3 linked regions of the Sus scrofa genome follow. The main gene of each other region encodes a partner of the protein of the gene in region 3 in a complex. Links are inferred from orthologs where the notes say so. Each region holds a gene or a part of one and is shown on either strand. Other genes may lie near its edges. The genes, in order: ERCC2, POLR2G and GTF2F2.

The links.
Region 1: GTF2F2 (region 3) and ERCC2 share a complex: the UniProt entries of both Homo sapiens proteins name them as parts of the TBP-based Pol II pre-initiation complex. The link is inferred for Sus scrofa from reciprocal best matches to the Homo sapiens genes GTF2F2 and ERCC2.
Region 2: GTF2F2 (region 3) and POLR2G share a complex: the UniProt entries of both Homo sapiens proteins name them as parts of the TBP-based Pol II pre-initiation complex. The link is inferred for Sus scrofa from reciprocal best matches to the Homo sapiens genes GTF2F2 and POLR2G.

The regions. Positions count from the first base shown.
Region 1 is NC_010448.4:51,740,477-51,744,121, forward strand, and holds part of ERCC2 (TFIIH basal transcription factor complex helicase XPD subunit), read right to left. Parts: intron 2,905-3,645; coding exon 2,786-2,904; intron 719-2,785; coding exon 649-718; intron 560-648; coding exon 490-559; intron 404-489; coding exon 302-403; intron 1-301. UniProt on the Homo sapiens protein: ATP-dependent 5'-3' DNA helicase. Component of the general transcription and DNA repair factor IIH (TFIIH) core complex, not absolutely essential for minimal transcription in vitro.
Region 2 is NC_010444.4:9,005,688-9,009,957, forward strand, and holds the start of POLR2G (DNA-directed RNA polymerase II subunit RPB7), read right to left. Parts: upstream 2,945-4,270; 5' UTR 2,805-2,944; coding exon 2,793-2,804; intron 2,682-2,792; coding exon 2,572-2,681; intron 1,212-2,571; coding exon 1,052-1,211; intron 394-1,051; coding exon 343-393; intron 1-342. UniProt on the Homo sapiens protein: Core component of RNA polymerase II (Pol II), a DNA-dependent RNA polymerase which synthesizes mRNA precursors and many functional non-coding RNAs using the four ribonucleoside triphosphates as substrates.
Region 3 is NC_010453.5:22,113,837-22,117,481, forward strand, and holds part of GTF2F2 (general transcription factor IIF subunit 2), read right to left. Parts: intron 2,897-3,645; coding exon 2,752-2,896; intron 1-2,751. UniProt on the Homo sapiens protein: TFIIF is a general transcription initiation factor that binds to RNA polymerase II and helps to recruit it to the initiation complex in collaboration with TFIIB.

The sequences.
Region 1 (3,645 bases), on a different chromosome or scaffold from region 3:
GACTGAGGCGGAGTAGAGGGTCACTTACCAGCGTCACAGCAAGGGCAAAGCCACATTAACCAAGTAGCAGGGCCTAGGCCATAAGAGCCTTTCACACCCACTATTTCACTAACCCCCCCTACCCAACCCCCTTAGGAGGGCAGGGAGGGGACATTCCCATTTCACAGATAAGAAAACTGAGGCTTGGGGAGTCACAGTCAAGCCCAGGTCTGGCTGAATCCAGAATCCATGCCCTTAGCTGTCAAGCTCTCCTGCCCTCGCTCCCGTCTCCCTCCCTCATCTCCTCACCCTCCCCACGCACCATGGGGCAGAGGCAGACCCGGGCCAACGTCATGGTAAAAGTTGCCATGGTGACGGGGTGGAAGTCCAGGATCTTGGGGTAGATGTCTAGTGGGGACAGCGTCTGTAGCAGGGACAGCAGGAGGGATCTTAGCAGGACTGGGCAGGAACCAGGGTACCCCCACCCCAGGTGGAGGGCCAGGGCCTCACCCCAGATGTGATGATGACAGACTGGAAGCGCTCAAACACGGGTTTGATGGCCAGCGAGGCGTCCATGCAGCTGTGAGGAGCAGACAAGGGTGATGGGGCCAGGCTGAGGAGCGGGGGCCGCTGTGGTCCATTCATACCCTCTCTGGGGTCAGGTCTCACCTGAAGTGCAGGACGGGGTTGGCGATGGTTGGGGTCCTGTCGTCAAAGGGCTCGATGATGATGGTGAAACCTACAGGGGGCACCAGTCATGACCATGCCCACTCGGCCACCCCCCCACCCCCAATGTCTCCCTCCACCCCAGTCCCCCCTGCCCACCTTCCTCGGTGAATGGGACCAGCTACCAACAGCCCAAACCCCAAACCCACGCACCTGAGTCCAAAATACACCCCAACCTGCCCGCTTCTCCCCAAGGCCGACACCTGTGCAAACACGCCCAGGGGACCCTAGGCCGGGAGCACAAAGGCTCACCCTCACTCTCCCCTCTCCGCCACTCGAGCCAAAGCCTCGAGCTTTCTCCCACCACCTCTCTAAGCCATCAGGAAGCCGGCCAGCTCTACCTCCAAAGTCTGCCCTCTGACCCCTTCCCCCAGCCCCTGCCCAGTCCGGCCATCATCCCCTTCTGCCTGGACCACTGCGCTGGCCTCTCCACTCCCAGCGGCCAGGGGGACCCTGGAAATCCTGAATCAGGTCACATCTCTCCCCTGCTCAGAAGCCCCCCACAGCCCCCCAAACCCCTCCCAGGGTCCGGAACTGTCTGTGGGGTCCTTCCACACCAACCCCATTTCCTCCATTCTCCTGGGCCTCCAGCCTAACTGCTCAAATCACCAAGCTCATTCCACCCCGGGGTCTCTGCACTGGTCCCCCTGCCCGGAAAGCTTCCCAAGCTGGCTCCATGCGGTCATTTGCAACTCAGCTCCAATGTCAGCTTCTCAGAAAAGCCACCCCGGCCACTGCAGGCATTGCTCCACCATGGAGACATGTTTGTTTCTCATGAAAACAACCACTTCCTGGAATTAATTCCTGACTTGTGTTTGCATCTCTGCTACCTGTCTTCTCGCTAGAATATAAGTTCTGGGAGTCAGGAATGAGGTCTTTCTGGATTCCTGCCACTTGGCCCCAGTGCCGGCCTGGCCCACTTGTTGAACAAATACATGAATGAATGAATCCACACACCTTCACTTAGTAAAAATTAAAACAACCCAAAATCAAGTCTTTTGCACCTAAGCCTATGCTGGAGATGCAGCAGGACTGAAACAGCCCTGGTCCTGCCCTCTCAGGGCTCACAGTCCAGTGATGGGGACACTGACCTGTCCCGTAGAGTGACCTCTCTGGGTGGGGAGGGCTGGGACAGGGCAGCCTAGAGGAGAGGGCCTGATCCAGCCTGGGGGCCAGAAGGGGCTTCCTGGGGGAGGAGGGGGCTTCTCTCCTGAGCCAGGAACTGACGGGTGAGGTGGCGGCAGTGGGGGCAGAGGAAGAAGACGGGGAGGCTGTTCCAGGGAAGAGACTGCCAGGGGGGAGGGAGGAGCGAGACAGCCCAAGGGAAGACAGGGTGAATGGAGGGATGGACGCAGCAGGCGGCTTCCAGGGGACTTGCCGCTGATCGACCTTGGGATAGGGGGACGGCCGTCACCCCCCGCCAAGGCCCTGCCCAGACCGGCTGGCCGCAGGGCGCTGGCAGGCCTGACCTAGTTTCCTGGACACAGGAGTAATCCCCGGGGATTAGGCTGAGCCCCTGGCCAGCTTAAAGCTGAGGAAGGCGAGGCAATGCTGAGCGACGAAGCCTCTGCGACGCTGCCCTGCTCTCTGCAAGCTGGCAACCTGAGCACCAGCCTCCCGGCCTCTTTACCTCCCAGGTCTCTCTCCAGCCCCGCATCTTCTCTCCTCCCGCCCTGGCCCAGCTCTGCCAGAGGAATCATTCCAAAGCACCAAGTGACCCTGCCTCTCCCCTGCATGGCACCTGCTGTGGCTCCTCAATGCCCTTGGGAGCAGACGGACCAGCTCCTTACCATGCCCCCCAGGGCCAGCTGACCCCACAGAACTTCTCTGGCCTCATGTCACGCCACCACCCGCCCCACCCTTCTTCACCCTGCAGCCAGAGAGGAGCTTGAAAAACACAAATCTGAGCACAAGGCTCGCTCACTCAAGAACTGTCTGTAGCTCCCTATTGCCCTCAAAATAAAGCGCAAACTCCGGAGCCCAGCCCTACAAGGTCCTGCTCGTCCAAGTCCCACGGGCAACCCCACGGAGATCCCGATTCCAGCTGCCGGGGCCGGCAGAGGCAGGAAGGGGCGCTTACCCTTGGCATAGGTGCTGACTAGGGTGGCAAAGTTGGCGAGGAGCGTGAGAGGGGAGAAGTCAGCAAGGTCCGCGATCTCCAAGGTGTGCAGCAGGGAGCGCAGGCGCTCGGCGCAGAATCTGGAGGGGGGGTGGGGGGGTGGAGGATGGGGTGAGGGGCGACAGTGACCAGCTCAGGCACATCCAGCAGCCCCCTCCCCTCCAGCAGAGCACGGGCCCAGGTGCCATCTCCCCAGCTGCCCGAAGTTCCATGAGGGCGGGGCCTGGGTCTGCTTCAGTCCCCTCTGTGTCCCCCACATCCCACAGGGCCACGGCCATACGAGGGCACATTCGGAGCAATAATCACACAGCTCAGAGTCACAGGGTCACGTCACAGGGGGCCACATGCTCATGAGCAGGTTCTTGGTCAGAAGGGGCAACCCACAAGCACGCCCAGAATCCCACAGTCACTGCACGAACCCCACACGGCCACATCACCATTTGCTCCCTCCCAGGTCCTCTCTCAGTGTCTCAGCCACGCTCGCCACCCTCAGCGACACAGCGTGAGAGTCCCACACACTCGGGAGACAATCTCACACACACTCCCGGAGCTTCGCACACACTGTGTCCAGCAACAGCCCGTACACAACACAGGGCCACTCAAGGCTCTCACCCTTCAGGGAGAGGCTGTGGAGCAGCAGCACGGCTTTGGTGTCAGGCAGACAGTCAGGTTTAAAACCCGCTTCCTGAACCTCCTTTCCTTTCCTCCACGGTCGACCAGGTGCCCCTCTATGTTCCCTGGGCCCCCAGGCCTCCCCCCATCCCAGCCCTGGCACGTCCCTCTCTCACTGGACTGTGAACCCCAGGAAGGCAGGGCCAGGG
Region 2 (4,270 bases), on a different chromosome or scaffold from region 3:
CCACAGCAGTGATAACGCTGGATAACCCTGTGTGCCATGAGGGAACTCCTGGGTCAGCACATTAAAAGGACGCTTCAAGAGATGGTCACGGGGAGTTCCCACTGTGGTGCAGTGGGTTAAGGATCCAGGATTATCTCTGCAGCAGCTCAAGTCTCTGCTGGGATGCAGGTTCAATCCCCAGCCCAGCACAATGGATTAAGGGTCCAGCATTGCCACAGCTGTGGCTCCAATTCAATCCTTGACCTGGAAACTTCCACGTGCTCCAGGTGCAGCCCAAAAAAGAAAGAGACGGTCAGGAATGAATGTCTCCTCCTTAGCCCCACCTAGCCCGCCTGGACTTACATGTCGAGAGATGAAGCAGGACATGGGCCCAATTTCTGTGAAGAGTCCGACCTAAAAGGGAAATGAATGACCTAGTTTTTTCTTTTGTCCCCATTGTCTGCTGAGCATCCCGTCTTTATCTGCATCCTAATAATAGTCTTCATGTTTTGAAACCACTCTGAAATTTGGCATTTGTTTTCATTTTTCTCTCCTTTTTCTTTTTTTTTTTTTTATTTTCCCACTGTACAGCAAGGGGGTCAGGTTATCCTTACATGTATACATTACAATTATATTTTTTCCCCCATCTCTCCTTTTTCAAACTTTCACTTTATGTTAACAGAGTGTAGTAGTCAACACCTGAGGCCTCGAACCTGTCTGTCTGGAATCTGAACACTTGTCGGCCACATGACCTTGGCCAGCAGTCTTCTCCAAGCTTCAGTCCGGAGGTAAAAGCACTCGCCTCACAGTCATTGTGAGGCTTTGCACTTCACCTGGTGCACAGGATCTATTCAATCAATGGAAGCTACTGCTCTTTTGACTCTTAATGTTGACTTACATTTTACACCTGCCTGAGTGAGGCAGGACAAGATTCCCATGCCATCTGGCAGGTAAGGACACCTGAAGCACAAAGAGGTGATTTGGCCAAAGACACAGAGTTAGCAAGTAAGAGTTGGGGCCCATCCCAGATTTTCTCAGGACTTCCCATTACCTGCCCTGTGGATGGACTTACCTTGTTGACTTGAGTGACAACAGCATCCACGACCTCCCCTTTAAAGGGCCGGAAAACGATGGCCTTGTACTTAACTGGATAAAGGACAAAGCCTCGGCCTGGCTGGATCACACCAGCACCGATATTGTCAATGGTGGTGACAGCAATTACAAAGCCATACCTGCAGGGAGGATGAGAAAGAGAAAGGTGTGGAAGAGCCTCTAAAACCATCTGCCACAAGAGGAGTTCTGGTTGTGGCTCAGCAGAAACGAATCTAACTGGTATCCATGAGGACACAGGTTCAATCCCTGGCCTCACTCAGTGGGTTCAGGACGCCGGCATTGCTGTGAGCTGTGGTGTAGGTTGCAGATGTGGCTCAAATCCGGCGCTGCTGTGGCTGTGACATAGGCCAGCCGCTACAGTGCCGATTCCTCCCCAGCCTGCGAACCTCCTATGACACAGGTGCAGCCCCCCAAAAAAAGACAAAAAAAAATCTGCCACAAGAGTCACCGAGCCTGGGGGTTAAAGGGCATCACAAAGGGCAAGTAGATGGCACTCCTGGTCCCAGAGAACTTAATGATCAAGAGAGAAGACAGGGCAATGACCAGCATCTACAAAGCCAAATGCTGATCTCATAAGTTCACAATAAGTGTCCAAAAGGGCTGCAGTCCTTGAGCCAAGAGACCTCAATCTCTTTTTAAAATTTATTTGGCCTGTGGCATTCAGAAATTCCCAGGCCAAGCATAGAACCCACGCCACAACAATGACAATGCCAGATACTTAACCTACTGAGCCCAGGTACTTCCACATGCCAAGGGTGCAGCAAAAGAAGAAAAAAAAAAAAAAAAAACATACATATATATATATGAAATGCATATCCCCAGGCCTGTCCCCAGAGATATGGGGATGCTGTAAGGATGACATGAGGCTCAGGAACCTGTATGTTCAAAAGACACCCCCAGTTGCTCTGATGCTGGAGCCCCAAGTACTCCATGGCCCTGCTCATCCTGGTTTGTCTACATCACCAGATGAGAGGTCCCTCTGTGCAGAGCAAAGAGACGGTCAAACGTCAGTGCTCTTCCTTCCTCCCCCTAACTCTCAATCTGCTTTATCCTGGTCACTCCCTCATTCAACACACTTTTAGTGAAGCCCAATGTGCCATGACAGGTCCCTGGGCGTGGGGGATAAAGAAAACCAGCAAAATCCAAAGAGACTATGAGCTCGAGCTGGCCGCTTCTGTCTTTCTCACTGCATTATTCCCAGGGCCCAACACAGAGCCTGGCACACAGCTGGAGATTTGGAAATGTTTGTAAAGTAAATGAATGACCAATCTTGGCTGAGGGAAGTTAGTCCCGTTATCCAGCTTCGCAGAGGGCATCATGGGAACCCGAAGCAGGAAGCAAATGACTGCCTGGGCCGTCTGGGTGGGTGAGAGGGCTCTCCAGGGTAGACAGCACAAACTTTCAGGACTTGAGGAGGGGATGAAGGCACCGGGCGCCGAGGGCGCACTGCTCAGGCAGCACGGAGAGCGGGACACTCACTTGCCGGTGCAGGTCCCCTCCACTTCAGTGAAGAGCTTTTGTTTCACGGTGTTAAGAAGGTTGGGGCCGAAGTAGCGCGGATGCAGCAGGATCTCGTGCTCCAGGGAGATCTGCGGAGAACGTGGGATGGAGACCAGGCAAGAAGCGGCCCCCTACTCCCGGCCTTCCGCTTCGCTCCTCCTCTCGACCCTACCCTTGCCGCCACCCCGGGCCCTGCTCACATGGTAGAACATCTTCCCGGAGGAGGCTGGACAGCAGCCAGGCCGAGAGCAGCCAGGCTTAAAACAGCGACAGCAGCAGCAGCAAAACCCCCGGCAGGACCGGAAGTACACCAACCTCCCCAATCCCGCTTCCGGGCCTGCCCCAGAGAGGTGGGCGGGAACACGTCTCGTCTGCGGACTTGATTGGGCCCCGTTTTCGTGGGCGGGGAAATCCACGAAGCTCCTCCCCCTTCGTCCAGTCCACCCTCTGTAAAAGCACAGGACGCTCACAAATTAGCAAGGCCAGGTCTAGACAAGAAGTTCAAACGGTGGATTTAATTAATGAGAGACGTCATAAATAAAGCGCTTTAGCAGAATATATTCATTCAGCAAACAGTTGAAGACTGCTTTCACAGAGTAAGCATAATAACTATCTGTTCTTATCTGGAGAGAACGGAGGCCAGGACCACAGCAGCCCTGACCCCTCTCCTTCCCTCTTTTTGAAGCCAGCCTCCCTGCAAGAGCAAACTTACCTGCTGACAGTGGTGTGCTGGAGCCCCTGCAAAAGCCAACTGTTACTATTTCAGGAATTTTGCAAGCTAATTCTTAAACACAGCCATTATTAAAATGTAATTGTCTTAAAATTAAATGAATATTTGAAAAAAAAAAAAAGGCAGCGGTGCAGATGAAACAAGTTTGGCAATGACTTTTTTTTTTTTTTTTTTTTTTTTTTGGTCTTTTTAGGCCTGCACCCGTGGCATATGAAGGTTTCCAGGCCAGAGGTCGAATCAGAGCTGTAGCCATGGAACTGCGTGTGCCACAGCCACAGCAATCCCACATCCGAGCCCCCTCTGCTAGCTACACCACAGCTCAGGGCAATGCGGATTCTTAACACATTGAGCGAGACCAGGGATCAAACCTGAGTCCTCATGGATGCTTAGATGCGTTTCTGCTGAGCCAGGAGGGGAACTCCAGGCGATGTATTAATGATTGTTGAAGCCAGATGATGGATAAACTGTGGCTTTTTATATGTTTCCTTCTACTTTTGTATGTTTAAAATTGATCATAATAGAGAGTTTCCATCGTGGCTCAGTGGTAACAAATCTGACTGGTATCCATGAGGACTCTGGTTAGATCCCTGTCCTCAATCAGTGGGTAAGGATCCGGCGTTACTGTGAGCTGTGGTGTAGCTTGTAGACGCCGCTCAGATCTGTTGTTGCTGTGGCTGTGGTGTAGGCCGACAGCTACAGCTTCAGTTGGACCCTGGCCTGGGGACATCCATATGCTGCAGGTGCAGCCCTTAAAAAAAAAAAAAGTTCAGGAGTTCCCGTCGTGGCGCAGTGGTTAACGAATCCGACTAGGAACCATGAGGTTGCGGGTTCGGTCCCTGCCCTTGCTCAGTGGGTTAACGATCCGGCGTTGCCGTGAGCTGTGGTGTAGGTTGCAGACGCGGCTCGGATCTCGGATCCCGCATTGCTGTGGCTCTGGCGTAGGCCTGT
Region 3 (3,645 bases):
TTTTCTTTTTTTTGGTCTTTTGAGGGCCGCACCAGTGGCATATGGAAGTTCCCAGGCCAGGAGTCACATCAGAGCCACAGCTGTGACCTACCCCACAGCTGTTGCAATACTGGATGCTTAACCCACTGCACTGGACTGGGGATCAAACCTGTGCCTTAGCAGCCACTACAGAGACAACACCAGACCTTGATCTCCTGCACCGGAGCAGGAACTCCGAGACGACTATTTTCTGACATCAGTTTACGCATCTGTTGGCATTCCAAGACACCAAAAAAAAAAAAAAAATTATCTGAGTATAGCAGACCCTTGAACAACATGGCTTTGAACTGTGTGGGTCCACTTATGTGTGGATTTTTTTAAATAGCAAATCCTACAGTACTACACAAGCTGCAGTTGTTGAATCCGAGCACACAGAACCTCGGATATAGAGGAATCTCAGATGAGGAGAGCAAGACTGTAATTTATATGTGCATTTTCAATTGTGTGAGGGTTGGTGCCCTTAATCTTCGAATTTTAATCCTCACAACAATAATGCCCTTAACATATTTCTTATGGTTTTCTTTGTAATGTTTAATGAAAATACAGCAAAACCACGGATCTTTTTCTTTACACAACCAATCAACTTTCTTTTTTTTTAATTTTTATTTTTTTACAGCCACACCTGCTGGAGAAGTTCCCAGGCTAGGGGTCGAATTGGAGCTGCAGCTGCCGGCCCACACCACAGCCTCGGCAACACCGGATCTGACCGGCATCTGTGACCTACACTGCAGTTTTCCACAATGCCAGACCCTTAACCCACTGAGTGAGGCCAGGGACCTAACCCACATTCTCACAGACACTAAGTCAGGGTCTTAACCTGCTGAGCCACAACAGAAACTCTGAATCAATATACTTTCTAAATTAAGTATGAGAAATTAGTTCTGAACCATAATTTGAAAAGACACATGCACCCCAATGTTCACTGCAGCCCTATTTACAACAGCCAGGACATGGAAGCAACCTAAGTGTCTATGAGCAGGGATGGGTAAAGAAGATGTGAGATACATATATATATATTTGATTATTAGCCATAAAAAAGAATACTGCCGTTTGTAGCACCATGGATGAACCTAGAGATGATCATTCTAAGTGAAGTAAGCCAGACAAAGACAAATACCATACAAAATCATTTATATATGGAATCCAATAAAAAATGATGCAAAAGAACTTATTCACAAAACAGACTCACAGATTTCAAAATCAACCTTACGGTTACCAAAGGGAAAACGTAGGGGGGCAGAGATAAATGAGGAGGTTGGCATTAACATATACAAACTACTACATATAAAATAGATAACTAACAAGAATCTCCTTCACAGCACAGAGAAATCTAATCAATATTCAGTAATAACCTACCTGGGAAAAGAATCTGAAAAAGAATGGATATATATATATATGTTTGACTGATTCACTTTGCTGTACACATGAAATACAACATTTTAAGTCAACTATACTCCAACAGAATTAAAAAAAGAAATTAATTTTGTTAAAATGAGGTGACCTGGCCTAAAAAGACAAAAAGGGGGGGAGGGTGGCCTGCTGCTTTCATAGTCATATTCTAAATTTAGTCAAGGTTATACTCTTGCAAAGGCCTCAAAAAAGTTCCCTCTGTATTTAATTCACAAACTGAAACATGTGCTCCCTATTCATTGAGCTGTTAAAGTATTTGAGAGCAAACACACAAAATTAAACAAAACACTTTACCCAGAGCTTCTTGGAAATCGATACCAATTAAAAGAAGTTAATCGCTATGCATTACAAACTACAGAAAGCACCCAAGAGCCAAAATCCAGACTAAAATATTCCCCAATATAAAGCAGTTTTGCGTTTGTTTTTTGGCCGGGGGAGGGGGGGGGGTGCCTGCACCTGCAGCATATAGAGGTTCCCAGGCCAGGGGTCAAATCAGAGTTGTAGCTGCTGGCCTATGCCACAGCCACAGCCACACCAGATCCAAACCGAGTCTGTGACCTATACCACAACTCATGGCAATGCCTGATTCTTAACCCACTGAGCAAGGCCAGGGATCGAACCTGTGTCCTCATGGATGCTAGTCAGATTTGTTTCCACTTAGCCACGATGGGAACTCCTATTTTGCCTTTTTTTAAAGGGCCGCACCTGCAGCATATTGAAGTTTCCAGGCTATGGGTCGAATCAGAATTGCAGCTGCCTACCCCAGCCACAGCAACAGCCCAATCCAAGCCGCGTCTGTGACCAACACTGCAGCTCGTGGCAATGCCAGATCCTCAACCCACTGAGAAAGGCCAGGGATTGAACCCACATCTTCACAGATATCAGTTGGATTTATTTCCACTGAGCCACAATGGGAACTCCATGAAGCAGTATTTTTTTAAAACACAACTTACAGTTGCTAAATATCAATTTACCAAAACAGGCACAGATGACCTTATCTTGGCAAAACTCAGAATACTGTTTCTTCAACATCCCAGAAGACAGCTTGATGCACTACACTCTTCCATCTGCTTTGTTCTATTTCTTCATGTCCCACACAGAAATTAAACCCTTTGTGTAACAGCCAAAATTCTATCAACCACAGGAAGGTATACTTAGAGCAGAGAAATACTACGATATGAATGAGAGGTAAACAGAATGATAGGTGGGACAGCCCTGGTAATGGCCTTAGAGTGTATGCTGAGCCAGGAAGTCTACACAACACATACAGGAATTGCATTAAATAATTCTATCCCTACTTACCTGATGAGCTCTCAGTAAACACTGTTAATGTCTGTCCTCCAACACTTTGCAAGACAAATGGATGTTCTCTAGGAGCACTGACTGAAGCTGGTTTGCCGCCAATATCATGAATATTTGCAAGTTCCTCATTCAAAGTAAATGACACCTAACAGACACATTAACCAGAGATTATTACAATAGACTTTTGTACTCAAAGTATCTGTACAGAAGTTCTGATTATAAATCAAATACTTTTTAAAATGTGAATCTTTTCCAGTCACTTTACGAAGCATTTAAAAGAAAATTTTCAAAAAATCTTTAATAATTACCCATAAAAAAAGAACCTATTCCCATTTGTCAGAATGATGGGGCTAGTCTACCATTATAAAGACAATTTTCAAATATTTTCTCTGGTCTATGGATGAAAAAATTCCATTTATAAAATAGAACAACTTTTTTTCCAACCATGTCTGAGGTCAGGGAGCCATGTCTTGCTATGTTTATACCCTTAAATAAATTAGATAAATATTAGATGGATGGGTAGACAGATTGATAGATCGATCCATCCATCCATCCATTCATCCCCTAGCAAACTGCACAACACATAGAAGGAAAATAGTATCTGCTGAATGAGTGAACATTTTAAGAGTATTAAGAAAGCGACTGTACTTGAAGCAGGGGGAAGGGAGCTATTTACTCAGAAAGCTTAAACACTCCCATAAGCAGAGGATGCCTTTCTTTTTTAGGTTCAAAAACTACTGTATGAGTACATGGTGCCATTTTTTGGTTTTGGTTTTTTTGTTTTTTGGGGTTTTTTTTTTTGTCTTTTTTTGTCTTTTTAGGGCTGTACCTGCAGCATATGGAAGTTCCCAGGCTAGGGGTCAGTAGGAGCTGTAGCTACTCGCCTACTCCACA